Macaca mulatta: one gene and its partners. The protein of the gene in region 3 purifies or fractionates together with the protein of the main gene of each other region. This does not show direct contact. Links are inferred from orthologs where the notes say so. Each region holds a gene or a part of one and is shown on either strand. Other genes may lie near its edges. The genes, in order: HNRNPC, PABPN1, DHX9, HNRNPA2B1, ILF2, DICER1 and ADAR.

Region 1 (3,961 bases), on a different chromosome or scaffold from region 3:
AAATGTAGTATACACAAAACCAAAAGCTTCCCATTTCCAATGAGAATACAAGAATATGCATATTAAGAGCAAATAATGCTCCCCAGAGACAACTACTAATTATTTGAAGACTGAAATAATGTGGTTAAGAATAGTAGTAACTACTACTAATTTAGAAAACTGGGGCCGGGTGCCGTGGCTCACACCTGCGTAATACCAGCATTTTGGGAGGCGGAGGCACGAGGATTGCCTGATCTCAGAAGTGAGACCAGCCTGACCAACACGGTGAAACCCCGTCTCTACTAAAAATATAAAAATCAGCCCGGCGTGGTGGCGCACGCCTGTAATCCCAGCTACTTGGGAAGCTGAGGCAGGAGAATCGCTCAAACCCGGGAGGCAGAGGCTGCAGTGAACCGAGATTGTGCCACTGCACTCCAGCCTGGGGCAACAGTGAGACTCCGTCTCAAAAAAAAAAAAAAAAAAAAAACTGCTTTAAAAAGACTGCATCTGTACAGTTTTTAGTCTTCTGGCAACGAAAAATTTGAATTAGAAACTAAAAATTCAAATAAGTTAAAAAAAAAAAAGTCTAAGTCCTCTTATTTAAGCAAGGAGGATTAAAATCTATTTCTCCTCCTAGGCAAACTTACTCCCTATTCAACACCTCACATTCAACACTTAATATTAAGTTTTAATAATTTGCCCCTTAGTCTTTAAAATTAGAGCAACTAGCTATTTGAGTTTATTCTTTGTGTCGCACTGCCATTCCATCCAAAACAAGGTCGAATGCCATGTCAAATCCTCTAAGAGATTTAATTACAAACGTAAGCTGTTTAAATTCTCCACAGAAGGAACATCAACTACCAAGTATTCCCAAGAGTGGCACACGAATGGGGGGAAAAAAAGGTCAGAAAACCTGCAACCTGGCCATCCTTCAACTTTTCCCCCTAGCCAATACGCTAGCCAATACGAAAATGTTACTAAATGCCTATCCAGTTGAGAACACACCTGGAATTGTGATATAAATGCCGTGGCAAACAGTTCTTGATATTAAAGAATTTTTGGTACGCTGATATACATACTGATCTGATATACATACTGATCGGAAGGAACCCGTATTTCTAACACCTCAAAGGCAAAGAAAAGTGCCTGTCAATCAATTTCAGCTATTATCAACTGTTCTTAAATACTAACTTCTGACATTTCTCATTGCCAACATTTTTACTACATGATTTCCCCATTAATCTATTTTTGCCTTTACCTCATTTCTAACAGTTTAGCACGATGATAAACTTTAGTTTTAAGTTCCTGTAATAATATATTTAAACTTAAAGGGGTCGCGATGTTTTTGACCCTTATTTTACTTCCTATCAAATAGGTTGCCTTACAGATAAATTTCTTACCCGGCAGAATTGGTTTAAACTGTGCTTAACAGCTTTAGTTTTTGTGAAATTAACAGATTGTAAAAAATAACCAAATCTCATGTGAGGATTTAAAAAACCGATTTCCCAGATAAGTGAACGTGACACTAAAGATCTGTAACTTTAACTTACAAGTTTTTTATCAAATTTCAGCACCGAGCAAATAACAGCACTGTTAATATTTGCTTAATAAAATGTAGCTGTGAATTTTTGCCCAAGTTTAGGTGGACGGGAAAATTAACATCAGAATAACCCGAAAGTCAAATTTTGTCATCTTACACTTAGGAAGTTACGTTAACAACAAATTCTCAAGTCTCGTAGTATTTTTCTTAAGCGCAATTTGGGAATTTCCAGTTACCTCGTGGTTTCCGTCATCAGGTTCTTGCAAAGATTCAAATATTGTACTTTTAGAACCCGGTATTCCATTAACCAGGTAAAAACCACTCGACTGACCTCGTGGTCAAATTCCTTAGTAGTTCTGCTACTGACTTAATTATGACCCTAGCAATCAACACTTTGCCTCAGTTTCTGTCTGAGAAAGAGAGTTAATACCTACCTCAAGCAAAGTTCCACTAACTTATATATTTCAAGTGTTTTGTAACCTGCAGATGAAAAGTCAGCTGTAATTATTAATATAGTTATACACAATATTTCCTTTTACAAACGTAAGTGAAAATAACTACTTCGAGCTCCATTATTTGCTCATAGAGAGGAATAAAATAAAAAGTTATCAGTAAAATGCTAAATCTTTTGTTAAACCTTTCTCATAGGCCACGCGGCACGATCCAGGATTTAAAGGCTCGCGATACATCTACTTGGTAACCTTCCCCCTCCCCCTCCCCCAATTTTTACATGTAAGAAGAACCGAGGTAATAGAAGGCATCGGCGCTATGTTAACTTCGACTATATTAATGAACATCGCGATCTTCATTTTCAGGATCCCGGAGTCCTCGCGGTCGTAGAAAATGAAAGGAAAGCAGCCGTTAACACAGGAAGAGCGAAAAAAGGGCATTTTCCCTGGCGATCGTGGCCCAGAGGACACCAGGTTAAACCTACGCAGAGGCTGAGGCCTGTAAAACCGCCTCCCGCTTCAGACCTAATCCCCCAAAACAAACAGAATAAATGAGGGCCCGGTTAGTTAGGGGGAAGGGTTCCCTCATATTCTCTCCCACACCCCCTCTAGCTTCCCAAAAAACCCAGCGCCTTCCCTGCGTCCGCCCTCTCCACTTACCAGGAGGGGGGAGGGAGAAGAGATTCGATTCTGAGTCTCCTACTCCCGGATTCGGCGTGAAGAAACCGACTGCAGGTCGAGGTCGGCAGCGCGGCCACAACCGCTCAGTCTTCGTCTCTTCACAAAATGGCCCCCGAGTCTCCTCTGCCGCCGAGGCGAAGGCCTAGTCCCCGCCCCATCCCTAAGAATCTTCCTATTGGCTGTGTGTTTTTTCGCTCCCGCTCCTAATTAGACAGTTCAACCGCTTCTCACAATGATATCCAGTCACAATTGGCAGTGGGTTAGACTAAGCAGAAGAATTTCCACATGCGTGAGAGAAACTAGTTTGTAACTGGTTAATTTTCCTGTCATTTATCGTCTGGGGAATGTTTATTGGCTATTGCACCGGACGACCCTCTGGGTGGAAACTCGCCTTTGTATCGCGCACCGTCTCACATCCGGGTATCTGGAAGGCCTGATTGGCGGCCGCGGTGTCCTATCGCTGCTCCTTAGAGTGCCTAGTAAAAGGTTCGCTCAGACCTCGGATTTCCGGCGGCGCGGGGGCGGGGAAGGGCTTGAGGGGCGTTGTTAGGTGACGGGCGCAAAGGACTTGCCCTAGCCCCGGGCCTAGGAGAAAAAAAGCGCGAAATGAAGCCTCCGGCGTGCAATATGAATAAAGAAAGAACTTTACTTAAAATGAGGAGGGAGCAGCGGTGACTAGGCCGTGTTAAAGTGTGTAGAAAACTAACCAGCCCTGCCGTTTTTCCAACCCGAGAGCCTTTCTCAGGTCCAGATTCGAATGTCAGCTACCTCGTAGACATCTCTGCTTCTCAGCCTATTAAACCCTTCTTCAGACAACACATATTCCATCCAAACCAACTGACTTCCTTATTCCTCTCCAATATGAAAAGTAAATGAAGTGCAAAATCCCGGCCTCTGGCCCAAGTCATCTCACTAATATCTTAAGTGCCAGTAAAATTGGCCCATCCCTCCGAATCTGCTCCCTTAATTTCCCTCCTCTTAAAATGGCTTGTCTCCTACGTACCCCCGTCACCTGCCAGTCCTTCTGGTTACATTATAGGAACTGCGCACACAGTGGATTAGCATCAGCTCTACTAAGGGAGCCATTTCTTTTTTTTTTTTTTTTCTTTTTTCTTTTCTTTTCTTTTTTTTTTTTGAGGCAGAGTCACTGTCGCCCAGGCTGGAGTGCAACTGCCTCCAGTTGAGGTTGATTGGCGGCCGCGGTGTCCTATCGCTGCTCCTTTTTTTTTTTTTTTTTTTTTTTTTTTTTGAGACGGAGTCTCGCTCTGTCACCCAGGCTGGAGTGCTGTGGCCGGATCTCAGCTCACTGCAA
Region 2 (4,086 bases), on a different chromosome or scaffold from region 3:
GTAGAATCGAGAGCGGGAACTGTTGTAGTTGGTGGTCCGGGCGCGGTAGCGGGCTCGTGGAAAACCCCGGTCTGTTGTGCTGATGCCTGGTCTGTTGGTTCGTTTTGGGATCACCTGAGTCAGAGATGAACAAATGATAGCCTTAAAGTCAACCCAGAGAGTTTATACAGAACCAGAACAGCAATGGACATAGGCTTACCTTGATTTGCCTTCCTCTAAATAGGGACTCATCTAAGGCCAAGGAAGTCCTCACTGACTCTTTGTCTGAGAACTCTATATACGCAAATCTGAAAAGAATTGTCATTGTATCTCTCTGAGGTTACAAATACCTCACAAGTCAAATTCAACTTGCAGGCATGCTTCTTTTTGGGCTACAATGTGGTTACATTTTTTATTTGTCAAAATTCTTCTAAATGGAAAATTTCATTCAAAATCATTTAAATTTTAAAATTTCCAGCTACTCTTTGAAACTTGTAAAAATAAGACACACAGGGCCTGAATTTCCATATGGCCATAACAGGCCAAGTAGAAGCTGCCCCTCCCCTTCTAGTTTGTGATCCCACCCACACCTAGCCTTCATTTTTGTTATCTGGCCTCTGAAGACATTTAGGTGCAACTCTTGATATATATCAAAATTGATGCCATGATCTTAAATGACACAGATCACCTGTGTTAACAGCAAATAACTTACTGCTCACTATAAAACATAATTTATCTATTTTTGCACTGTAAATTATCTCAACTTACTCCCCTTTACTTACCCTTTGGGATGGCCACTAAATTTGTCACAGAGTATGGTAACACGGTTGACTGATCCACAGCCATGAAAGTGAGCTTCCAGCTCTTCTGCTGTTGCACCATAGTCCACCTGATGAGAGGAGAAAAATTTCACAGGCACCAGGCAAATTCCTGTCTCAACAGGAACCCTCCCTAGCCTTTGGTCTGGGCCATCTATACACCAAAGCACATGAAATCTGGTAATTTGAGGAACTAATCCTTTTGCTTCCAAACCCAGAGCCTTTGCTGATTACTGATCATTCCATTACCTTTAACCTCCTTCCCACACTCCCTCCACACACCCCCAAAACCACACCGATCCCGGAGATGTTCCTTCCAGGACTATTAAATAACTCCCCAAAAGAAGAACTTGCCCCCAACCCCAATCAGAGCCCCAGCACATACATTGCCAACATAGATGGAACGGGCATCAGCCTCCATCTTCTCCTCAATGGACATGATCACTGGGCCAGCTATCAGGAAAAAATAATATTTTTTAAAAACCACACACTTGTTTTTGACCAATATATTGCACTTCCACCACCAGCACTATCCCATTAGCTCAACGAAGGCAAAGATTTTGGTCTGTTCTGTTCTCTGCTGTACCCATAACCTAGAATAGTGCCGAGTCCATAGCAGGTACTCACTAAACATTCGATAAATTGAAAGAATAAACTAATACACACTTACAACAGTATAGGAATCCCTCCTGCCTCCAAATCAAATCCCTAATGAATGGCTTTGGCTGAAATGCTTTTAAGAGTGAGCAAAATTAAGTGGGCTGAGACTCCACATTTCTAGATTAAAGGGGAAACCCCTTGCAGCTTGCTTTCTCTTAGAATCCTAACTAAAGCGTTTCCAATTGGAAGAAAACTATTAGATTTGAAGGTCAAATGCGAGCTTGCAACCTCTACAAAGGATAGACGTAGACTAAGAACAAAGAGCAACACAATTATAACAGGGACAAAGGGAAGCACAAGGCTACCACCACCAAAATATAGGTTCTGCCTCACAAAGGTCAGGCGAACACACAACGGATTATGACCGCGGCACAGTCATAATAGCTCAGACAAGCAGCTCCAGGGTGCCGAGTATCTTACCCCACATTCCCCATCTTCCCCACAACCCTTCCAGCCCGAGAACCCTGGCTCCGCGTGCAACCGCCAGTTACTCACCATTGCCTGGAGGTGGACTCATATTCATCTGCTTCTCTACCTCGTTCTGTAGCTCCTTTAGCTTCTCAGCTTCTTCCTCCATCTCCCTGACTCGAGCTTTGATAGCTTCCAGCTCCTAATATAAGTGGGGAGGGTATGGAAGAGAGCTTAAGAGGAACCAACGCAGGGGCTGTGCCCTGCTCTCGGCCGGAGCGCGGCCTCAGCCACGCTCGGCCATTTCCCTCGCCCCATGCGAGGGTCGTGATAAAAGAAAAGCAAGCTACCCTCTCTAGAACAACACTAGGCACCCGTGACGCCCGAATCAAGCCAGCCGGGCCCCTTGTAGTGATCGCTGACCCATCCCCGGCCCGACCCGGCCCCAGCCACGTTATTCCCCGCCCAACCCCACCCCCCGCCTGCCTCCCGCTCGCCCGAGCTCTGGGCCTCCAGTGACCCGGCCGGCCAGCCGCCGGCCTGCTGGCTCGCCCTCCTTCCCTCACCGGGTCCTCAATGGCGCCGTCCCCCGGGTCACCCTCGACCAGTCCCGGCTCCTCCTCCTCCTCTTGGCTGCCGGGGGCTCCCGAACCAGGCCCAGGGCCCGGAGCTCCCGGGGGGGCGCGGGGCCGGGGCGGCTCCTCTTCGGGCTCGGGCTCCGGCTCGGGCTCCAGCAGCAGCTCCTCAGGCTCCAGTTCCTCAGACTCCAGGCCGTTCCCGTAGTCCCCTGCGCCCCCCGGGGCCCCCTCCCCGGCCTCCCCACCGGCCCCGGGCACAAGATGGCGCCGCCGCCCCGGCCCGGAGCCCCGACCGCCCGCAGCCCCCGCTGCTGCTGCCGCCGCCGCCGCCGCCGCCATCGCCGCTCAGACTGGGGCCCGCCGCCCGGCGATTGGAGAGCTGCGCCGGCCACGCCGAGGACTCATTAGTCAAGCTGCCTGCCCGTCACCACGAGCTAGTACTCCATTGGGGAATATTACTTGGCAATCAAATGAGACCCCACCTCTAAGGCGGGGTACTGTGCCAAATTCTCAAATCCCGGTAGGGGAAATCTGCCTGTCAATCAACACGCGTCCCACCTCCTATCGAGTCCTTAGGTAATAATACCGCCACGCTGTGACGATATTTCTGCTTCTCCCCGGCCTACGGGCGGGCCCGCGAAGTATAGGACGCTCCGTGATTGGCCCTAGCTAGGCGACTGGAAAGGACCAATCTTCCGATCGCCTCACCGCAGTGGCCCAGTCTCAGATGCTGATTGGCTCGCGAGATTCGAAGGAGTGACACTCGTTTCGTGACAGGTGAACCTTGCCCCCGAACGGACTGCCCGGCTTCAAACTTGGAAAACCCGAAGTCACATGACTAGCCAGCCCTTAGGGGGCCGCCATCTTGATACTACTGCTTGCCAGCTAGTGAGCTGTTGGCCGGGTGAGGCCCAAAACAGAGCAGCAGTTTCAGGAAACTTGTATCCTGACCAGGAAGCACTAGTAGATGGGATATTGCTGAAAATGGAGGTTGTGAATGAATCATTCCAGGAGGGAGCTTACTTTCTCCATCCAGGTTATTGGCACCATCATCCACTAGCTCTCCCACACCAGAAAGCAGGGAGAATTCCTCAGTCCAGAGCTACTAATCACGAGTCCTGTCTGTCCCACCCTCTTGTGTAGACCTCCTGCTCCCTAGTTCCAATTTCTTCTCTTCCCAGGACAGCTTCCAATGTCACCCTTCCAATCTGCACCGTTAACAGACTAGCCCCCCTTTGCAGGCGAGGTAAAGCCTCAAAACGGTAAATCACAGCCTTCGACACCCCAGCATGTGGTTACTTTGTGGATGTCTCCTTCCACCCTTCTCGTTCCATTTTGTGTACCTGCACCCAGTCTGTGCCTCTAACATGTAGTTCCCCTTCAACCAAACCACTGCAAACCTCAGCTTCCCCTCATTTCCCAGGACAAGTGGGCCTCTCTCCACAGCGCGCTTCATTGTTTTGTGGTTTCTTAACTAGGTTGTGAGCGCCTTCAAATGAGGGGCCGGATACTATTTATATTCACATCTCCACAGCCTGGCAATATGCCTACCACATAAGGTCCTGTTAGATGTTTGTTGATTGAGCATGCATTGATTGGGGATCTGGGTGCCACCCTTCATTTCAGCCCTCAAGCTCCCAAGA
Region 3 (2,412 bases):
AAAAACTCATGGGCAAAGGAAAAAATTTTAAAACCTGAAGCAAATAAAAATTTTAAGAATTAAGATAAATTTCTCATTTCTTTGCTTTAAGATGTCCATGCTCTTAGTTGTTTAAGATAAACAAAAACACATACACATTGGATAAAGAAGCAATTTAACATCTCATCAATATTTTTTCTTTAGAGATGCCAAAACAGTACCATGGAAAAAGGGCTATCTGGGCTGTGTCACTTCCCTGTCATGTGACCTACTCTGAACTACGTATGTGTATTTGTAAGATCCTTTTCCAACACTACCAATACGCACTGATGCGGTAGACCAATTACTAACAAAGGGACTAACAAAAGTAAATGACATTTTTGTTCTGAGTTTGTTAGATGGAACTAAACTATCTGTATCTAGAATTTTACTTAATAAGGCTTCTATCACTAACTCTAGGAATTCTAGACCTATGAAAGATCTCTCCCCTCTACTTGGTTCAATGAGAAGTTAATATGGTACTCACCGTGTACTGCCAATCATAAGGTTGATACCAGCAGCTGAGGGTCTAGAGATTTGACGGATCATGTTCAGCATACGTTCATTTACAGGGTCCAACTGGCTGATGATAGCAGGTTGTTTGGTTACTTCAACAACAAGAGCCTCCATGGCTGCCCGGAGACCGGTGATACAGGCAGCAGCTTCATGAGATATTTGCAGTTTAATCCTAAAGTGGCGAAAAACATTAAAAGTAAGAGAGGGAGTATATGAAGAAAAAGACCATTATCTCTCAACCTCACACATGGCAAGTTAAAGAATAAATTTAACTTCTTAAGCATTAATATTTTTAAAAACTACTTAAAGTCTATCAAGCCAAATAAAATACAAAAATATATGTAATATATAATAAACAAAAGAAAGTCCGGCAATATGGATCATTCAGACTTATTATTTTTTGAGACACAGTCTTGCTCTGTTGCCCAGGCTGGAGTGCAGTGGCATGATCTTGGCTCACTGCAACCTCTGCCTCCCAGGTTCAAGTGATTCTCCTGCCTCAGCCTCCAGAATAGCTGGGACTACAGGTGTGCACTACCACACTGGGCTAGATTTTTTGTATTTTTAGTAGAGACAGGTTTCACCATGTTGTCCAGGCTGATCTCGAACTTCCTGAGCCCAACTCATCTGCGGCACCCAGCCAGATCATCCAGACTTTAAAAGAATGAATTAAGAGACCCAGAATGCTGGCATTTTCTAGGTTTTCAAGAATATGATGGCTGAGCCTACTGGCTATCCATTAAGCTCTATTCCATTTTTGCCCAGTGCTTGCCACTAGTTTTGAATCAATATAGAGAGTATGTGAAAGTGTATTCAAGTTTCACTTAGATTGATTCCATAGTGGTGTGCATAGTGGTTAGACATGGCTCAAATTTCTAATGCATCTGCTTCTACTGGTATCCGTTTAAGTATATACTATGCAATTAAGTTAGATATAATTAGTATATATTTAAGTTATAATTAGTATATAATTAAGTTAGATTAGCAGCTGAATTCCATCATATTATAATTCTAAGAATTCAGTTTGGAGTTCACAGCGGAAAATCCATACCAGTCATCTACAAGCACGATCTGCCCATCAGATTGGACTTTCTTGGAGGCAAACAGAAGCAACTGCAGGGGGGTGACTAAAGTCATGCCTTTAGCAGAGATGGCTCGAGTTCGAATCTGCAAATGGAGAAAGAGACAGTACAAAATGGTTGACATTCCAACTTCCAAATACCGCCACATACTGTGCTTTGAAAATCAAAATTCATATTCCTAATGATTGTGAAGACAATTTCAACTTTCAATGTTAACTTTTGTAGTCTTTTCTTACCTTTTCACCAAATACAAAGAAGGGAGATGGGTACTTCATGTCTTGGCTACTAAAAGGACAATTAACAGATGATTTATGGATAAGTGCATTACGTCCTTCAGTGGTGAGAATCTTTCTCTTTTCCTTATGATAGCATACATTGGGGTACACACCAAAGGCCAGGAGGGAGATAACAACATCCAAATTATTATCTGGTCCAGTGTTAGTAAACACTTGTGTCAACAAACAATCTGTTAAGAGGAGCAGAGTGAAAAGAAAAATCAGATAATTGGCTGATCTTCACATTACATGCAAACTATTCAAGAAAATTCAGAGAACTGACTCTTCCTCTCTTCACATAACCTGTCTGTAAAACTTTCTCATCTGCTACTCTTCAATAGTTGTTAGTTGTAGAGAAGATGGAATGATAATCTAAGAGGACACCTACTGGAATGAAGGCTGACGTTTTTACCCAGTCTACACTTTATGAGTACTTAGCTACTGACTGGAAAGCATGACAGTCAACCGCTGAAAGCACAGACATATTTTGTTCTAGACAAACGAGTTCTAGCCTTATAACC
Region 4 (4,245 bases), on a different chromosome or scaffold from region 3:
TCAAAGTCATTAATGCTTGATCTAAATTTACTCAACATTAAATTATCTTAAACAAATGTATTATTACTTAATTTAAAAAATTTCTAAGGAGAAATGAACAAATGTAGACCGTGGTTATCAAAAGATTACTAAATCTTTACCAAAAATTTCAACCCTATAACCTAAAAACCCAGATTTCTATTTATAAACATCAGAAAATAACTTTTGGTTCGATGGTTATGACCCAAAGTTTTTATTTCACGATTCAGTAACATTTTCCCTTAACTGCCCCCTCTGGTGGTGATTCTAAGTATATTAGCCAAAAAAAAACTTTTTAAAATACTGTTTCTCCCTATGACTCTGACAAAAATATTTAAAATCATGATATGCATTAGCAATAACCTTAAAAATTACTTAAAACCAGGACAAATTCATTTTTATGACCAGCAGCACTCAAATCTTAAAAGTTTTAACAGGTTTTTGGTGGACACTGTCTATACAGGATATGACAATACAGAATATGAATTACTCAGCTTAACCTTATGTACAATAAAATACATTCACCTGGCATAATCTCTAAGCTAACTATTACTGAAAGCTGAAGCTTACTGAACTTGATTGGCCATGTGGCAAGCGACACGGCACGAAACAATTTTCTAACTCAATAGGAAAAACCTCAGAGTTGAAATCTTTAATACCTGCAAACAAGCAAATATGTCGTATTATACAACCCTGTATTTTGGGCAGTTAAGAATGTTAAGTAAACCTGTCTTAAAAGGTAACTACGTTAAAAAAAAAAAAATTAAACGAGAGGAAGTGATATCCAGGACCAACTACTACGAATGCATAATGCACACTAAAAAGTCACAAGTAATTTTGAATGAAGAATTATTTTTTGTTCCTAGCAAGAAGAATTGCTGCTCTCAGCCCAGTTCTACAGAGCTCTCTCCCTCCATTCACATGCTCCCAACTGCTAAAAAAAAAATAGTGGTAAATGCCAGTTCGGATTTTTTCCTGTAATTGTTTTCAGGACTGGTAAAAATTAAAAAAAAAAAAACATTAACCGAAATGATTAAACTACTTCCTATGAGACACAACGCAGTCTTGAAATGGTTACTTGCCAAAATAGATATTTTCATTTTCTCAATTAGTTTTTTCTTAATTGTCGTCAGCACATAGGTGTCTCTAAACTGAAATTACCGATAATGTACATTTATAACAAGTCTTACAGATCACTAACAAAAAGCAAAAACTCATTACTTACCTCACAATTTTTCCAAACTTACCCGATGTCCACTATCGATTTTAAACAATGTTATTTTATAAACGTGCTTAGGGTCAAAGAAAATAACCAGGTAGACCCCCTTCGCTTGAGACCTTATGCTTATCAATGTAATGTTCAACCAAGATTGCAAACATAAATGAGAAAAGTAACAAAGTTCAAATACAGAGCGGCCCAGGCCCAAAACAATTTTGCACAAAAATACACACGCATTACAGGAAAGAGCCTCTGAAGCCATGTTTTAACCGAAGTACAACTAAGGATAAAATCGTGATTTCGCTTTCCTCGTAATTTCTAACTAATCATCTATAATGATCCATGGAACTGTCCCGTAAGGATTAAACTTCTCAGGAAAAACATTACTTAAAATACGAGTCGGCTTTACAACTTAAGCGGAATCCTTAAGAACAGTAAAGGCTTCTGACGCGAATATCCCTCCCCCGCCCAGAAAACCATCCTCGTCCCTGCCCCTCGTGGCCGATGGCTTCCAAAGTGTTTATTTTTGCTGCTGTTCATCTGCCGTTTTAGTGACTGCAGACCCAAATATATCCGTTACTCAAATAAATTTAAAAAACAGGAAAACTACAAAACGGTTTCTTTGTCCTATGGCTCGCATTAAACCCGGCCCGACGCCCTGGGTGGTGGTATCTTCTCTGAAACCGGGCCCGCAAACCCGGAGCACCCCCCCGCCCGCTCTTCGGTGTGGCTTCCGAACGCAATGGCGCCATTTCATCGAGGGGAAGGCTGAGCGCCTTTAATGAGGTGCGCAGGACTCTAAAGATCCAAGCTCACAAAACACTCCAAATCCACCTCGAAACGATATGAAAAGAGCCCGAGAAGAAAGAAAAATAGTTAACCACTTCTATGCCTTGACAGAGAAAGCACACTAAAAGAATAAGAGAATTAAAAGAAAAACGCTGAGAGGAAGGCGAGCCATGAAAATGGCGGCCGCCAAATCCGGTTCCCGGGAGAGAGGGGGAGGGGAAGCTCCGCAGCCTCGCTCACGGGGACCCGCTGCCCGCCGCAACACTCGCCGCGGAGACGCCGTGGCCCCCGAAGCACCGTGCTTTAAAAAGGGAATAAGAATTCCCGCCTCCGCGCCCCACTTTCACTCCAGCGGGGCAGCGTCCGCCATGTGAAAGCTCCCCATCCCCCACCCCCAGTGAAGGGAAATGGCGCCGGGAGGCCGAGGGTGGGGAAGCTTGTTTGTACGCTCAGGCCTCCGGTCAAGACCCCGTTCATAAACCTCAAGCCCCACTGCTACTGAAGCGGTCCGATTTCCTGCCGCTCTCCCACGGAGGCGGCCGGCCGACTTCCACAAGGGGGCCAACGGCCTCGCCATGCCCTTTCCAATAACTCATTGATTTCAAACCCGTTACCTCCATCGCGGACTCAGTCGCTTCAGCCCGATTTCCCGCAGCCGAGCGAGATGAGAGAGATCTCCGCGGACGAACACGAACCGGACTCGTCCTGGCGCTGTAGTGAGAACTGCCGCTGCTCGAGAAACAACACCGCTAGGAGTACCTCCGCACGGGACCCGGCGCTGCTGCTACTGCCGCTAGAGCCGCTGCCGCCGCTTTTCTAGAACCTTCCCCCCCACTAACGCGTCTTCCTCTACGTCAGGCCGTTGCGTAAACGCCCTAACCGCCGCCAATGGCGGGAAGGCTCTACGCCCCTCCTTACGCCAAATGCGTACTCCTCCCCCTCCTGTGGCCAGCGACAGTGCCCGACGCTACTTCCGTAAATGCGCTCAGTGAATTGCGGAAGGCTCGAGTCCCGCGAGTTACTACCTCTCGGAATAGGGTCCCGCCCCCCGCCTTGGCGCAAGGCAGGTGAGAAACGGTCGCGCAGTTTGAAATTAACGCTGACGGGAGGAGCTTAATCCGGAGCCCGGAGTTCCAGCCCTCTCAACCTGGGAGGTGGTCCCTGCAGCTACGCCTTTGATAACCCCCGCCAGAAAAATCGTAGTATAATATGAGCCTTCCCTTTTCGTTCTCCGTGTCCCAACTCGGCGGATTGACTCGGCCCCTTCCGGAAACACCCGAATCAACTTCTAGTCAAATTATCGTTCACGCCACACTGACCTAACCCTGACCCGCGTCTATGCAGCTGACCCCTGGGGTACAGGAGGGGTCTCTGCTGAAAGTGGTCCCAAAGGGGTACTAGTTTTTAAGCTCCCAACTCTCTCTCCCCAAGCGTTTGGAGGATTCCGCACCCTCGCACCGCAGGGGCGAGGAAGTGGGCGGAGTCCGGTTTTGGCGCCAGCACTGAGGCTGCAAAGCAGAAAAGCCACCGCTGAGGAGACTCCGGTTACCGTCCTCGCCCCTCCTCCCCCCTCCCTCCCCTTGGGGACCACCAGGCGCCACGGGGCGAACGGTAAGTGCCGCGGTCTTCGCAGCCGCCCTCCCCCTAGGGCCCCAATTCCCAGCGGGTGCGGCGCGCGGCCCCTCCCCCCCGCCGGGCGCGCGCCCGCTGCCCCGCCCTTCGTGGCCGCCCGGCGTGGGCGGTGCCACCCCTCCCCCCCCCCCGGCGGCCCCGCGCACAGCTCCCGGCTCCCTCCCCCCTCGGATGTGGCTCGAGCTGTAGGCGCGCAAGGCCGGAGACGCTGCAGACCCGCGACCCGGAGCAGCTCAGAGGCGGTGAAGTCGGTGGTTTTCCTTCTCTCTAGCCCTCGCTCGGTGGTGGTGCATCAGATGCTGCACGCGCCCCGGGGGCCCGGTTCTCCGCTCCCCTCCCTTCCTTGCCGGACACCGCGCCGGGAGCTGCGGGAAGGAGTGGAGAGGGTCGGGCGGTGGCCTCGCGGCTGACCTGGCTCGGGGCCGGCGCCGGCAGTTAGTGGGGGGACTGTTCGGTCCTCGAGGGGGTAGGGAGCTGTGGCGACGGTCGCCCTATTTCGAGACAAAGCGCATTTTCCCTCCCCTCCCCCACCAGCGTTCCGGCGGAGGCGCCCCCTCCCCCAGCCGCCACGCGGGGCTGGGTCGAGA
Region 5 (4,089 bases), about 73 Mb from region 3:
CTCTCCAGCCTGGGCAACAGAGTGAGACCCTGTGTACAAATAAAATAATAGAAGAGAGGGTAAGAGACAAAGAGATTACTGGGGGAAAAGTCTAATACGTCTTTGGAGTTCAGGAAGGAGGGAAATAATAGGTAAAACTAATACTGGAAGATATAATAGCTAATAAATTATATAAATGGATGACAAACCTCAAGCCATTGATTCAAGAAGCTCAACAAACCTCAAGCAAGATTTTTTTTTTTTTTTTTTTTTTTTTTTTTTTTTTTTAAGACGGAGTCTCCCTCTATCACCCAGGCTGGAGTGCAGTGGCGCCATCTCAACTCACTGCAACCTCCGCCTCCTGGATTCAAGATTCTCCTGCCTCAGCCTCCTGAGTAACTGGAATTACAAGTGCCCGCCAGCACAAGCCACCGCACCCGGCCCTTTTTTTTTTTTTTTTTTTTTAAATTAATAACATTTATTTAAATCTGGATGGTGGTTATGTGGACAGAATACGTTTAGACTTAAGATGTTTACGTTCTGCTGTAGTAAATTAAATATCAAAAAAGTACGTATGGAAGGGAGGTAGATGAGGGATAAAAGTCTACAAGTTGGATTCAGTGTATACTGCTCGGGTGATGAGTGCACCAAAATCTCACAAATCACCACTAAAGAATTTATGTAACCAAGCCGGGCGCGGTGGCTCAGGCCGGTAATCCCAGCACTTTGGGAGGCTGAGGCGGGTGGAACACCTGTTTTCCACATTAATTCAATCAATATACTCCTCCTATCTGAAACCTGTTTCTCCTGCTTCGAGTTTGTAGACGTGTAGTGTTCATGGTTGCCTAAACTCCCTTTTCCCCATCAACTTCAACTGCTAGTGGCAAAAATGGCTGATACTGCTTGCGTTTTTGGGGTAGGAAAATCGGCAAGGTATTTTCATTCACTGAATGTAATGTAAATTACGTGTACGGTACAGGGCAATGAAAAAATTCCGATAGCAGAGGATGGTTTCGATCCATCGACCTCTGGGTTATGGGCCCAGCACGCTTCCGCTGCGCCACTCTGCTATCTGAAGGCCAACGTTCTCATAACTGTTATAGAAGACCACGTAGTCGTTGTCCTGACTTCTTCAGTGCCACCTAATGTCTGATCAAAAATTCGTCATTACTATAGAACCAGTTCTTATTGGCTAGTTCCTGACACAGTAGGCGTTTTTTATTGGTTCATAAGCCCGGTTTGACAAAGTAAGCCAATAGGCATAAGCGATGGGGTAAGGCGGGAGCCAATCACGCCGGGTTTTATTGGGACACGCCGGCAAGACTCCTCTTCAGTTGTCTGCTCCTCAGAGGAAAGGGGCGGTTGGTGCGGCCTCCATTGTTCGTGTTTTAAGGCGCCATGAGGTAAGGGGGTCGAAGTGGTCGAAAGGTTTCAGGTATTCGACGGAAAACTTTGGGAACGTGGGTCGAAAGAAGTCGGAGTACCTAAAAGGACCATGTATCCGGGAGCTGGCCAAAAACCTGAGAACTCCTGGTCTAAGAGAGTGGGAGAGAGTGAGGCCGGTAGAGGCGGGGAAACGGGCCCGGGATGGGGTTGGGGCCCAGGAGTGGGGAGGCGGGTTCGACACCTCTCTCTGAAGGGTTGCGATGAGGAGGTGTCCTCAAGTCCCCGGAGGAGCTCCCCACCTTCCCTCCGCCCCCGTCATCCGGGCTGAGAATGCTGGAGCGAGCCGCATTCATCCTCAGTGCGAAGGGCTTGACATATAGGACATGCCCGATAAATGTGTACGTTAATGAAGAAATGAGCAATCTTTAGCTTCCGAAGTATTAGGATTCGTGTGGCCCAGGATTATGGGTTATTTCGTGTAGGGCTCACTGTCTGAGCCCCATCATTACTTGATGGGGGGTTGTGATTAACTTATCCAGAATGAGGAGGTTATGGGGGTGTAACTGGGCACCATTTGGAATGGGGAGGAGTGTGTGAGTGGGGTCTCTTGCCTACCGTTGGGAGGTTCCGAGGGATGAAAGTAGCCAACTTAAAATGATATGGCCGGTGGGTATTCCTTCAATGAGATCAAAATAAAATCTGCATTTCTAGGGGTGACAGAGGCCGTGGTCGTGGTGGGCGCTTTGGTTCCAGAGGAGGCCCAGGAGGAGGGTGAGTGCCAGCTTTTAGCATCTCTGCACTTAGTTGTTAGTTTCTGCTTGTCATCTAAATAGGAGTTTTGGAATAGACTAATGTCACTTGGTTTTGTGAGAGCCAACTGTGGTCTTTTCCGCACTCCTGCTAAATGAATTTGGCCCCACTATGCTAAGAATGATTCTCTCCCTCCCCAGAGACTTTGTCACTCATTCTGAGGTCTGACATGTTTTCAAAATTGTTGGTGTGTTATTTAAATCTCACTTGATTCCTACATAGGGAATAATTTGGCTGTTTTTCATGTTTTAGGTTCAGGCCCTTTGTACCACATATCCCATTTGACTTCTATTTGGTGAGTACCTTGGGTTAATAATACACAATTTCTGGCCATTCTTGAAATGGAGCCTAGTATCTCCCAGTTAATGAAGTTAGATAGTGGTTGAAGAGGGCAGGCACAGTGCCTCACACCTGTAATCTCAGCACTTTGGGAGGCCGAGGCGGATGGATCACCTGATGTCAGGAGTTTGAGACCATCCTGGCCAATATGGTGAAACCCCATCTCTAGTAAAAATAAAAAAGTTGCTTGGGCGTGTGCCTGTAATCCCAGCTACTTGGGAGGCTGAAGCAGGAGAATCGCTTGAACCCGGGAGGCGGAGGTTGCGTGAACTGAGATGGCACCACTACCAAAAAAAAAAAAAAAATGGTGATTGAAGTGAGGGGGAAAGTGATTTTTGAAAAGACTTGGGGTTTTGAGTCAACTGTGTGTTGCTTTACCTACAGAAACAGTGTAAGCATGGTGGGGAGAATAATTCCTTGACTACTGTTGGCATTAAACATGATTATAATCTTTGTTCTGAACAAGTAATCGTATCTACGGCTAATTTGTTACTATAAAGATAGTGATAGCTTAAATTATGGCTATTCCAGCTTGTATCCTTGTTTGAACATTTTTTCTTTTTTTTTTTGAGACAGAGTCTCACTCCGTCACCCAGGCTGGAGTGCAGTGGTGCAATCTTGGCTCACTGCACTGAACCCGGGAGGCAGAGGAATCAGGACCTCTGCCTCCCAGGTTCAAACAGTTCTCCTGCCTCAGCCTCCCAAGTAGTTGGTATTATAGGCGCCATGCCCAGCTATTTTTTGGGTATCTAGTAGAGACGGGGTTTCACCATGTTGCCCAGGCTGATCTTGAACTCCTGACCTCAAGCGATCTGCCCACCTCGGCCTCCCAAGGTGCCGGGATTACAGGCGTGACCCACCATGCCTGGCCTTTGAACAAAATTTTTTTTTTTTTTTGAGGCAGGGTCTTACTGTGTTGCCCAGGCTGGAGTGCAGTGGCACGATCTTGGCTCACTGCAGCCTCGCTTCCTGTGTTCAAGGGATTCTCCCACCTCAGCTGGGATTACAGGCGTGAGCCACCATGCCCAGCTAATTGAACAAATTAAGGAGTAAAAACAAGTGTAGAATTTTCTATTTTTAACCTTTTTCTGTCGTAGTAATAGAAAAAACAATCTCTCCTGTATATTATTTTCGGCAAATGGAATGTAGTTGTTTACTTCTGGTTTAGTGTGAAATGGCCTTCCCCCGGGTCAAGCCAGCACCTGATGAAACCTCCTTCAGTGAGGCCTTGCTGAAGAGGAATCAGGACCTGGCTCCTAATTCTGCTGAACAGGTATGTTCTTTTGGCTGTCTTCCAGAAATGTCTCTAAAGCAGGTAAAAGTATTGGTAAAGAGTAACTGTTGGTAAGGTTAAGAATGGTGTTAACAGAGCCTGAAATCCACAGAGGGTTTAATTGTTCTCCTTATTTCTCATTGTGGGTGGAGACAGCCAGGTGGATATATAAACAAATTACATATGCATTCTTATTTTTATTGGGGATAAAGAGTTGTTCTCTTTCCATATATTCAAGGCCAGAATGAAGTGTTTTTAAAGTCCTAGGTCAGTATTGAGTCAGCTCGTATGGAAGGGATTAG
Region 6 (3,500 bases), on a different chromosome or scaffold from region 3:
TTTGCTGATCACCTTAACCTACACTGTTTTTATTATACAAACTACAAATTTTATATTTTGCTTTGGTATTCTGAATTCAGGCACTTATACCTCCAATACAGAAATCGAAATGTAAACTTCAGCTGTGTTTCACAACCTGAAGCTGATTTGGGTGTGAGGGGCTTGTTCTCCCTTCTAATCTAATGGGTTGACAGCCTATTAAAGGGGAGGGAAATACAGAGCACAGTGAGAAGTAGAAGATGACAGCAGAGTCACAGCAAGGGCCACGCAACCTTCTTGTGAAATCATTGCTGTTAATCTTTTATTCTATCCATCTTTAAAAAGACCCTAAAGGAGGACTTTTTTTGTCCAAGAAGAACAATAAAAGGCTGTGGAAATACATCCAGAATATACAACTAAATCAAAAACCAAAAGCAGCACTGAATGGGCAAGAGAAAGATACCTGGGGAGGATAAAATGGGGAAACCACATCAAAATACTAAGGTTCAAATTTCTCTAATTAGGCAGCATATAAAATGACACTGATGAGGGTATAATATGATAGCCATACTCCCAACAAACCAAAGTTATAAAGCAATACGTGCTCCCTAAATAATAAAGAAAAGAACTCTTTCTTTTCCTTTTGTTCCCCGCCCCATCCCTTGAATATTAAGCACAAACACTGTACATGCATAGATCACCTTTTACAAGGCCAACACAATGTGATAAACACAAAGTCTCATTTTCCCAGAAATGCAGTTTGGTTGTGGGCTCCTTACCAGTGATAGTATTGTAGTGGTAGGAGGCATGTGTAAAAGCCTGGAGAAGGTAAGCCTTATTCTTGAATCTGTAGTTGATTTTCTTTTCAAAATTTTCAAACCCCGATATAAGGTGATTCAGTGTTTTATCTGCATCTGGATGATCAAACATACATCTTGGTGGAATCTTCAAACAACCATATTCCAAGTCTTTCAATACAGAAGAGCGTGAACTGGCCATAGAAGCAGCAGCACAGCTCACTGAAAGGTTCTTTTGTTGGCTGTTGAAATTCTCCCGAGTAGGGCACAGGGCCTTTTCCCGATCAGTCCTTTTAATTACCGGGAGCACCTTCAGCCCCAGTGAACAGAGGAAAAGCTGAGCAGCCCTCTCCCCACAGCTGGTTAAATAGCAGCCCAGCAGGGCTTCCACACAGTCCGCTATGCTTTTGTCAGCAATACACTGCTCAGTGTGCAAGTCGTAAGAAATGGACTGCTTTCCCGTGTCAACACCACAGTTTTCTTCTGATGGATTCCAGAACCCCACCACAAAGTCATCTTCTTCAACAGCTTTGCTAGGATCCAGATAGCACATTGCATCCCAAGAGCTGTAGTCAAAATCCTCAAAATCTGATGAAAATGGCATACTACCTAAGGAGGATTTTTTGGGCATTTTCCATTCATATGCAGAATCAGTGGTTGAAAAAGGAGAAAGAGAGATTTTCTTTACAAAAGCTCCTGACCCCATTAACATATTATCTATAAATCTGATATGTTCCTGATCATACTCCAGGAAATCATCTTCATAGTCAGCCTCTTCCTTCGGAGCCCTCCACATCAGGCTCTCTTCCTCCTCATCCTCCTCCTCGTAGTCCTCATCCAGTTTACCATTCGCCAGCATGCAGTCTTTTGTCTGAAACGAGGGGGAATGGTGAAGGAGGGGAGACATAGCTGCTGTTTTTAAAAGGGTTTGAAACTCAATAAAAGCAAGGGTTATGGATAATTTCAAATGACAACCACAAATACTAAAAGGCAACTTTAAAATCATGGCCATTTGTTTTCAATTAACATAAAATAAGTTATTTAATCATATAAACAAAGTAAAACATGTTCTTTGAATGTTCGTTTTCTAAGTTATAAAATGACCTTTAATCCAGTATGAAGCTTTAAGTTAAGGATTTTGAACATGGATATTAAGTTAAAATTAATGTCCACAATGCAAAACTTCAACTAAGAAGTCTAACTCCGGTAGGACACACAATGAAAGCACTCATATGCTGATCACACAGATCTTCAATTTTGCTGACAAAATTTGAAAATGTGGTAATTTGATTTTCAAATTAATAAAATGAAATTCCAGATGTAGAAAAGCATTACCTTTGCAATTAAGCATATAATATAAAAACAGATAAAATCAATTTTTAAAATGTACAATAGGATTTTATAATAAAGTTTTTGTCCCTATTTCCACTTCGAAGTATACTTGCCACAAAAAACTACACAGCTTTGCTTAAAAAATAAAAGTGATCACTGCACTAAGCTATGAATTTGAGAAATTATGCTTTTCCCCTCCACTCTGAGCTACAGTAATCAGGGGAACAGATTATAGCATAACTGACAAAAATGGAAGAAAATTTAGACTAACATGAAACACAACAATCCAATTTCTGTCAAAAGATCTTTGCTAATTCCAATTTCTTTGGCAAAAGCTTATTTGTGAGTGACAACCTTAATAATGGGCTAGATTTCAGTAATGATGTAACTTTTTTGCAATCCTAGAAAGATGCCAAATTTCTGTTATGCAAGTTTTTAAAGAACCAAAAAACTTTACTTGTGAGGAGGGAAGGCGAAGAGTGTGCATCAATGTTGACTGTAACAACTTTCCAGAGTGTTCTGACCAAAAAATGTTGTAACCTTCAGGCATTTTTTAAAATACTACAAATATTTCATTTTAAACTAGACTCAAGATATAAACACTATATTTGTCTGAAAATAAATAGCAGTAAGCCGGGCTTTATCTATAACTATCTTTTCACTGTTTTCATTAAGAAAAAAACATCTTTTCAAGAATAAGGAAGAACACCAAAAGCAACTATAGTGGCAGACCTCAAGGAACATTTCCTGCTAAAAACCTTATACTTTCCAAGGCATTATGAAGATGTTTTAGATTACTGTTTGGTCCTTAAGAAAAAAAGGGCCAAACTGCAATTTTTAAAAAATCATACATTTTTTTTTAATTGAAAAAAACTTTCTGTATCTTTAGAAAGGTGCTACCATAAGCCAAAAGTGGCAGAGCACAAAAATCACAAAGGGCTGACTTTTATCACAAACTGTGTGATCCTGGGCAAAGCCTTTTAGTGCCTCTGGGTTTCAGATTCTTCATCTACAAAAGAGTGGGGTTCTACCTCATAAAATGTTTTTCAAGAGCACTTCAAGCCTTTTAAGAAAAAACAGCCACATGAAATCCTTTCCTGTATCATTCAAGTCAACTTTGACACTTTCTTCTATCAAGAGGCGTTTTAGCATGCAAAGGTTTTCACTTAAGCCCATTTGCTGAAGGGCCAGAGCAAGGTAGGGAGAACGGCAATGCAACCAGCCAAAACCACAGAGTATCTTTTCAACATAATGCAAGGGCCTATATTTCAATAAAAATAAGTTACTAAATAAAAATCTGAACAGTATTTCTAATGAATTCCAATAACCAAAGTGTCATCATAAACATTAAGAAAAATAAATTGAACTTTGTGTTGTATCTTAAAAAAAAAA
Region 7 (3,500 bases), about 72 Mb from region 3:
TAGGATCATAGCTCACTGCAGCCTTGACCTCCAGGGCTCAGGTGATCCTCTCACCCCAGCCTCCCGAGTAGCTGAGACTACAGGCACACACCACCATGCCCAGCTAAATTTTTTTTTCTTTTTTAAAGAAACAGGAGTCTTGCTATGTTGCCTGGGGGATTACTACGTTGCCCAGGCTGGTTTTGAACTCCTGGCCTCAAGTGATCTCCCACCTTAGCTCCTCAGGTTGCTGGGATTACAGGTGTGAGCCACAGTGGCTGACTCTAAGAAGTCAATTTAGAGAAAAATATTAAGTAATAGTCCAAGTGATACCTGGATCTGGCACAAATCATGTGGCGATTCATGAATGACCAAAATCTAGGACATGCTGCCTTAGAAACAGCTTCTGTTTGACAGGTCCATATGTTTGCAAGACCGGCCACATCTTCAGCAAAACTAACCCTTCCTTGGAACAACTGTCAGGATCTGGCGCTTGTCTTCATTCTCTGCTTCTCATCCCAAAGGTTCGTTTACCAAGCAAAAGTTGGGGGTCGCTGGTTCCCAGCCGTCTGCGCACACAGCAAGAAGCAAGGCAAGCAGGAAGCAGCAGATGCGGCTCTCCGTGTCTTGATTGGGGAGAACGAGAAGGCAGAACGCATGGGTTTCACAGAGGTAACCCCAGTGACAGGGGCCAGTCTCAGAAGAACTATGCTCCTCCTCTCAAGGTCCCCAGAAGCACAGCCAAAGACAGTTAAGACGTCTACTTTTGGTGCCTTTTTTTGGGGTGGGGGGTCCTCCTAACTTCTCTCTAAGTGGAGGTGGCTCTTGCTGTCATGCGAGTTATTCCTAGGCTTTACTTTTAGCCTCAAGAGAGCATATAACTGGGACACTAGATATAAGAAGGAAAAGATGACTCACACGACAAGTAGAGCTTGATCTCCCTGCCATGGTGAATATGGTGGACGCAGCCTCAGCTTTGTGGTGCTGACACAGCCTCCTTTCCCCACAGCTCCCTCTCACTGGCAGCACCTTCCATGACCAGATAGCCATGCTGAGCCACCGGTGCTTCAACACTCTGACTAACAGCTTCCAGCCTTCCTTGCTCGGCCGCAAGATTCTGGCCGCCATCGTTATGAAAAAAGACTCTGAGGACATGGGTGTCGTCGTCAGCTTGGGAACAGGTGAGTGAGGCTGAGTCATGCCGCCTCCTGTGGCGCCTGAAAGCGGGTCCCTCTCATCCTCCCCTGGAGTCCATGCAAGTCCAAGGCAGGGAGAAGGGACTTCATTTTAGCTGCAGTCAATTCAGAGTGAGGAATGAGTTAGTTCCTAGAGGAGAGAATATGGGAGTCTAGGATCTGAGAAGTTGAGGCTGTTTCTGCCTTGAAGCTTTCAGAACAAATAGCCATCATCCTGTTTGTCATCAGTTTCCTTCCATTATTCTATTTCTGTTTTAAACACCTTCCTAGGGAATCGCTGTGTGAAAGGAGATTCTCTCAGCCTGAAGGGAGAAACTGTCAATGACTGCCATGCAGAAATCATCTCCCGGAGAGGCTTCATCAGGTGAGCGAGATCAGAGCTGGGGCCTGGTTGCCCGGCTCTGGAGAGCTCCAGTTCCCTGTCGCACGTGGCTCTGACATGGCCTCTCTGAATCCCCCTCTGACAGACGGGTCATGATGTGGCAGTGGCAGCCTTTGCTTTTCACCCGTCCATTTGAACCTGTCTGGTGGAATCCATCCCCTCTGTGACCTGAGCTGCCTCCCACTACTCCGCGTGGTTTTAAATGCTGTCCTTTGTTCTGCCAACTCTGCTGCTTCGTGTCCTTTTCGGAAAACACAAAATGACCTTTTAGTCCTCAGGGCCTTGGGGATGAGGCAGCTTTCCATTTCTATTTGAGGACCTACACAACCTTGATGCCCCTGCCAGCTTTCTCCTCTAAGTCACCTTTTCTTTAATTTATGAAGGGAGAGACTTGGAAAGGAGCAACAGCTTCCTGTAGTCCTTGAATCAGTTTACTCTGCCCTAGAATCCCTGTAGCTGCCATAGCGAGGAGCCCTCAGCAGAAATGAAGGAGACCCAAAAGGCTAACTATGCTTTATGAAATGCTGGGGTCTCCCCTGGAGAATTTCCACCTGAGAAACTGTGAAAGGTCTGCAACATTGAGGCTTTTCCTTACTTGCTCATTTGGAGGTCAGATTATAGAAGCAACTGTTTTTCCCAGAATTGAACCTGCCTTCCTAACCAGACTTTGTTTTTGTAGGTTTCTCTACAGTGAGTTAATGAAATACAACCCCCAGACTGCGAAGGATAGTATATTTGAACCTGCTAAGGGAGGAGAAAAGCTCCAAATAAAAAAGACTGTGTCATTCCATCTCTATATCAGGTCTGTACAGTTCTTGTTGCTGCCAGGGTGGGCCCTGCCAGGCTGTTAGAATTGGGTATCCGAATGCTCTCTTGGCCTGTAAATCGGACCTCATACAATAAGCCACACTCCACCGTGGGTTTGAGGTCCATATTCAGGTGTAGAATGACTCACGTATACTGCTGTCCACCTCCAGTCTCCCATGGTAGGCCTTAGAAAACGTCCATTGCTTCTGTCACATCTAGTTGTTTTGGAGCCCCATGAAACTGCAGATTTCCCACAGGTGAGTTTTAACAGCCACTCCTGTTTTTCAGCACCGCTCCATGTGGAGATGGTGCCCTCTTTGACAAGTCCTGCAGCGACCGTGCTATGGAAAGCACAGACTCCCGCCACTACCCTGTCTTTGAGAATCCCAAACAAGGCAAGCTCCGCACCAAGGTGGAAAACGGTGAGTGATACATGCCCCCGCCTCCTTTTTGCAAAAGGCTCTGCAAGACCCCGGGCCCCCAAGTCTCTGCAAGGCCGTTAGGATTTTACCAGTAGTCACCGGGCACAGAGGTGCTGTTTACAGGAAAGGGAAGACCTGGGTGGGGAGCTGTGTGGTAAGATCAAGGTTCTATTTTGAATGTGTTAGTTTGGGAGACCTTGGAGATCCCCAAGTCAAATAGGAAGTGGGGGTTCCCATGTGAAGCTTAGAGGAGGGAGCTTGGCTGGAAATAGAAATATGGGAGTCATCCCCCTATAGGGTCTTCACGGCCACGGGAATGCATAGGATCGCCTCGAGAAAGGGGGCAGGAAATGAAGAGTGCGGCACAACCAAGCCCTAAGGAGGTGACAGATGAGGATGCCAAGTGCCCGGGTCCCTCCTGTCTAGCTGGCAGTTGACTCTGCATTGTCCACTGGCTCCTTCTCTCCTGTCCTCTCCTGTCTCCTTACTGTCTCCTCACATCCACTCCGTTGCGTTCAGGCCACGTCAGCAGTCATCATGGTGGCCCTGAAACCCTGCTGAATACCCTAAAGTATAGACACAGTTACATGGAGCCAGTGCTCCACTCCTAGGTGGATGCTCCAGAGAGATGGAGACCTGTGTCCACGCGGAAACTAATATGTGAATGTTCATGGCAGCGTTACTCACAAGAGCCAAAAAAGTGGAAACAACCCA

What was found.
Region 1: the proteins of DHX9 (region 3) and HNRNPC purify together in Homo sapiens (affinity purification with western blotting; 5 studies listed by BioGRID and IntAct, with this or other methods). This does not show direct contact. The link is inferred for Macaca mulatta from reciprocal best matches to the Homo sapiens genes DHX9 and HNRNPC.
Region 2: the proteins of DHX9 (region 3) and PABPN1 purify together in Homo sapiens (affinity purification with mass spectrometry; 4 studies listed by BioGRID and IntAct, with this or other methods). This does not show direct contact. The link is inferred for Macaca mulatta from reciprocal best matches to the Homo sapiens genes DHX9 and PABPN1.
Region 4: the proteins of DHX9 (region 3) and HNRNPA2B1 purify together in Homo sapiens (affinity purification with mass spectrometry; 4 studies listed by BioGRID and IntAct, with this or other methods). This does not show direct contact. The link is inferred for Macaca mulatta from reciprocal best matches to the Homo sapiens genes DHX9 and HNRNPA2B1.
Region 5: the proteins of DHX9 (region 3) and ILF2 fractionate together in Homo sapiens (co-fractionation; 5 studies listed by BioGRID and IntAct, with this or other methods). This does not show direct contact. The link is inferred for Macaca mulatta from reciprocal best matches to the Homo sapiens genes DHX9 and ILF2.
Region 6: the proteins of DHX9 (region 3) and DICER1 purify together in Homo sapiens (co-immunoprecipitation; 3 studies listed by BioGRID and IntAct, with this or other methods). This does not show direct contact. The link is inferred for Macaca mulatta from reciprocal best matches to the Homo sapiens genes DHX9 and DICER1.
Region 7: the proteins of DHX9 (region 3) and ADAR purify together in Homo sapiens (affinity purification with western blotting; 3 studies listed by BioGRID and IntAct, with this or other methods). This does not show direct contact. The link is inferred for Macaca mulatta from reciprocal best matches to the Homo sapiens genes DHX9 and ADAR.

What each region holds. Positions count from the first base shown.
Region 1 is NC_133412.1:94,116,737-94,120,697, forward strand, and holds the start of HNRNPC (heterogeneous nuclear ribonucleoproteins C1/C2), read right to left. Parts: upstream 2,801-3,961; 5' UTR 2,629-2,800; intron 2,000-2,628; exon of another isoform or gene 1,954-1,999; intron 1-1,953. UniProt on the Homo sapiens protein: Binds pre-mRNA and nucleates the assembly of 40S hnRNP particles. Interacts with poly-U tracts in the 3'-UTR or 5'-UTR of mRNA and modulates the stability and the level of translation of bound mRNA molecules. Single HNRNPC tetramers bind 230-240 nucleotides.
Region 2 is NC_133412.1:96,420,210-96,424,295, reverse strand, and holds the start of PABPN1 (polyadenylate-binding protein 2), read right to left. Parts: upstream 2,801-4,086; 5' UTR 2,783-2,800; coding exon 2,432-2,782; intron 2,322-2,431; exon of another isoform or gene 2,216-2,321; intron 2,068-2,215; coding exon 1,953-2,067; intron 1,251-1,952; coding exon 1,183-1,250; intron 869-1,182; coding exon 762-868; intron 288-761; coding exon 200-287; intron 115-199; coding exon 1-114.
Region 3 is NC_133406.1:40,346,667-40,349,078, reverse strand, and holds part of DHX9 (ATP-dependent RNA helicase A), read right to left. Parts: intron 2,083-2,412; coding exon 1,853-2,082; intron 1,702-1,852; coding exon 1,586-1,701; intron 707-1,585; coding exon 506-706; intron 1-505. UniProt on the Homo sapiens protein: Multifunctional ATP-dependent nucleic acid helicase that unwinds DNA and RNA in a 3' to 5' direction and that plays important roles in many processes, such as DNA replication, transcriptional activation, post-transcriptional RNA regulation, mRNA translation and RNA-mediated gene silencing.
Region 4 is NC_133408.1:102,187,161-102,191,405, reverse strand, and holds the start of HNRNPA2B1 (heterogeneous nuclear ribonucleoproteins A2/B1), read right to left. Parts: upstream 2,801-4,245; 5' UTR 2,647-2,800; coding exon 2,641-2,646; intron 1-2,640. UniProt on the Homo sapiens protein: Heterogeneous nuclear ribonucleoprotein (hnRNP) that associates with nascent pre-mRNAs, packaging them into hnRNP particles.
Region 5 is NC_133406.1:113,368,415-113,372,503, forward strand, and holds the start of ILF2 (interleukin enhancer-binding factor 2), read left to right. Parts: upstream 1-1,289; 5' UTR 1,290-1,377; coding exon 1,378-1,382; intron 1,383-2,076; coding exon 2,077-2,136; exon of another isoform or gene 2,137-2,168; intron 2,169-2,427; coding exon 2,428-2,470; intron 2,471-3,663; exon of another isoform or gene 3,664-3,682; coding exon 3,683-3,787; intron 3,788-4,089. UniProt on the Homo sapiens protein: Chromatin-interacting protein that forms a stable heterodimer with interleukin enhancer-binding factor 3/ILF3 and plays a role in several biological processes including transcription, innate immunity or cell growth.
Region 6 is NC_133412.1:168,387,166-168,390,665, forward strand, and holds part of DICER1 (endoribonuclease Dicer), read right to left. Parts: intron 1,648-3,500; coding exon 759-1,647; intron 1-758. UniProt on the Homo sapiens protein: Double-stranded RNA (dsRNA) endoribonuclease playing a central role in short dsRNA-mediated post-transcriptional gene silencing.
Region 7 is NC_133406.1:112,413,048-112,416,547, forward strand, and holds part of ADAR (double-stranded RNA-specific adenosine deaminase), read left to right. Parts: intron 1-503; coding exon 504-729; intron 730-988; coding exon 989-1,160; intron 1,161-1,445; coding exon 1,446-1,539; intron 1,540-2,236; coding exon 2,237-2,359; intron 2,360-2,652; coding exon 2,653-2,786; intron 2,787-3,500. UniProt on the Homo sapiens protein: Catalyzes the hydrolytic deamination of adenosine to inosine in double-stranded RNA (dsRNA) referred to as A-to-I RNA editing.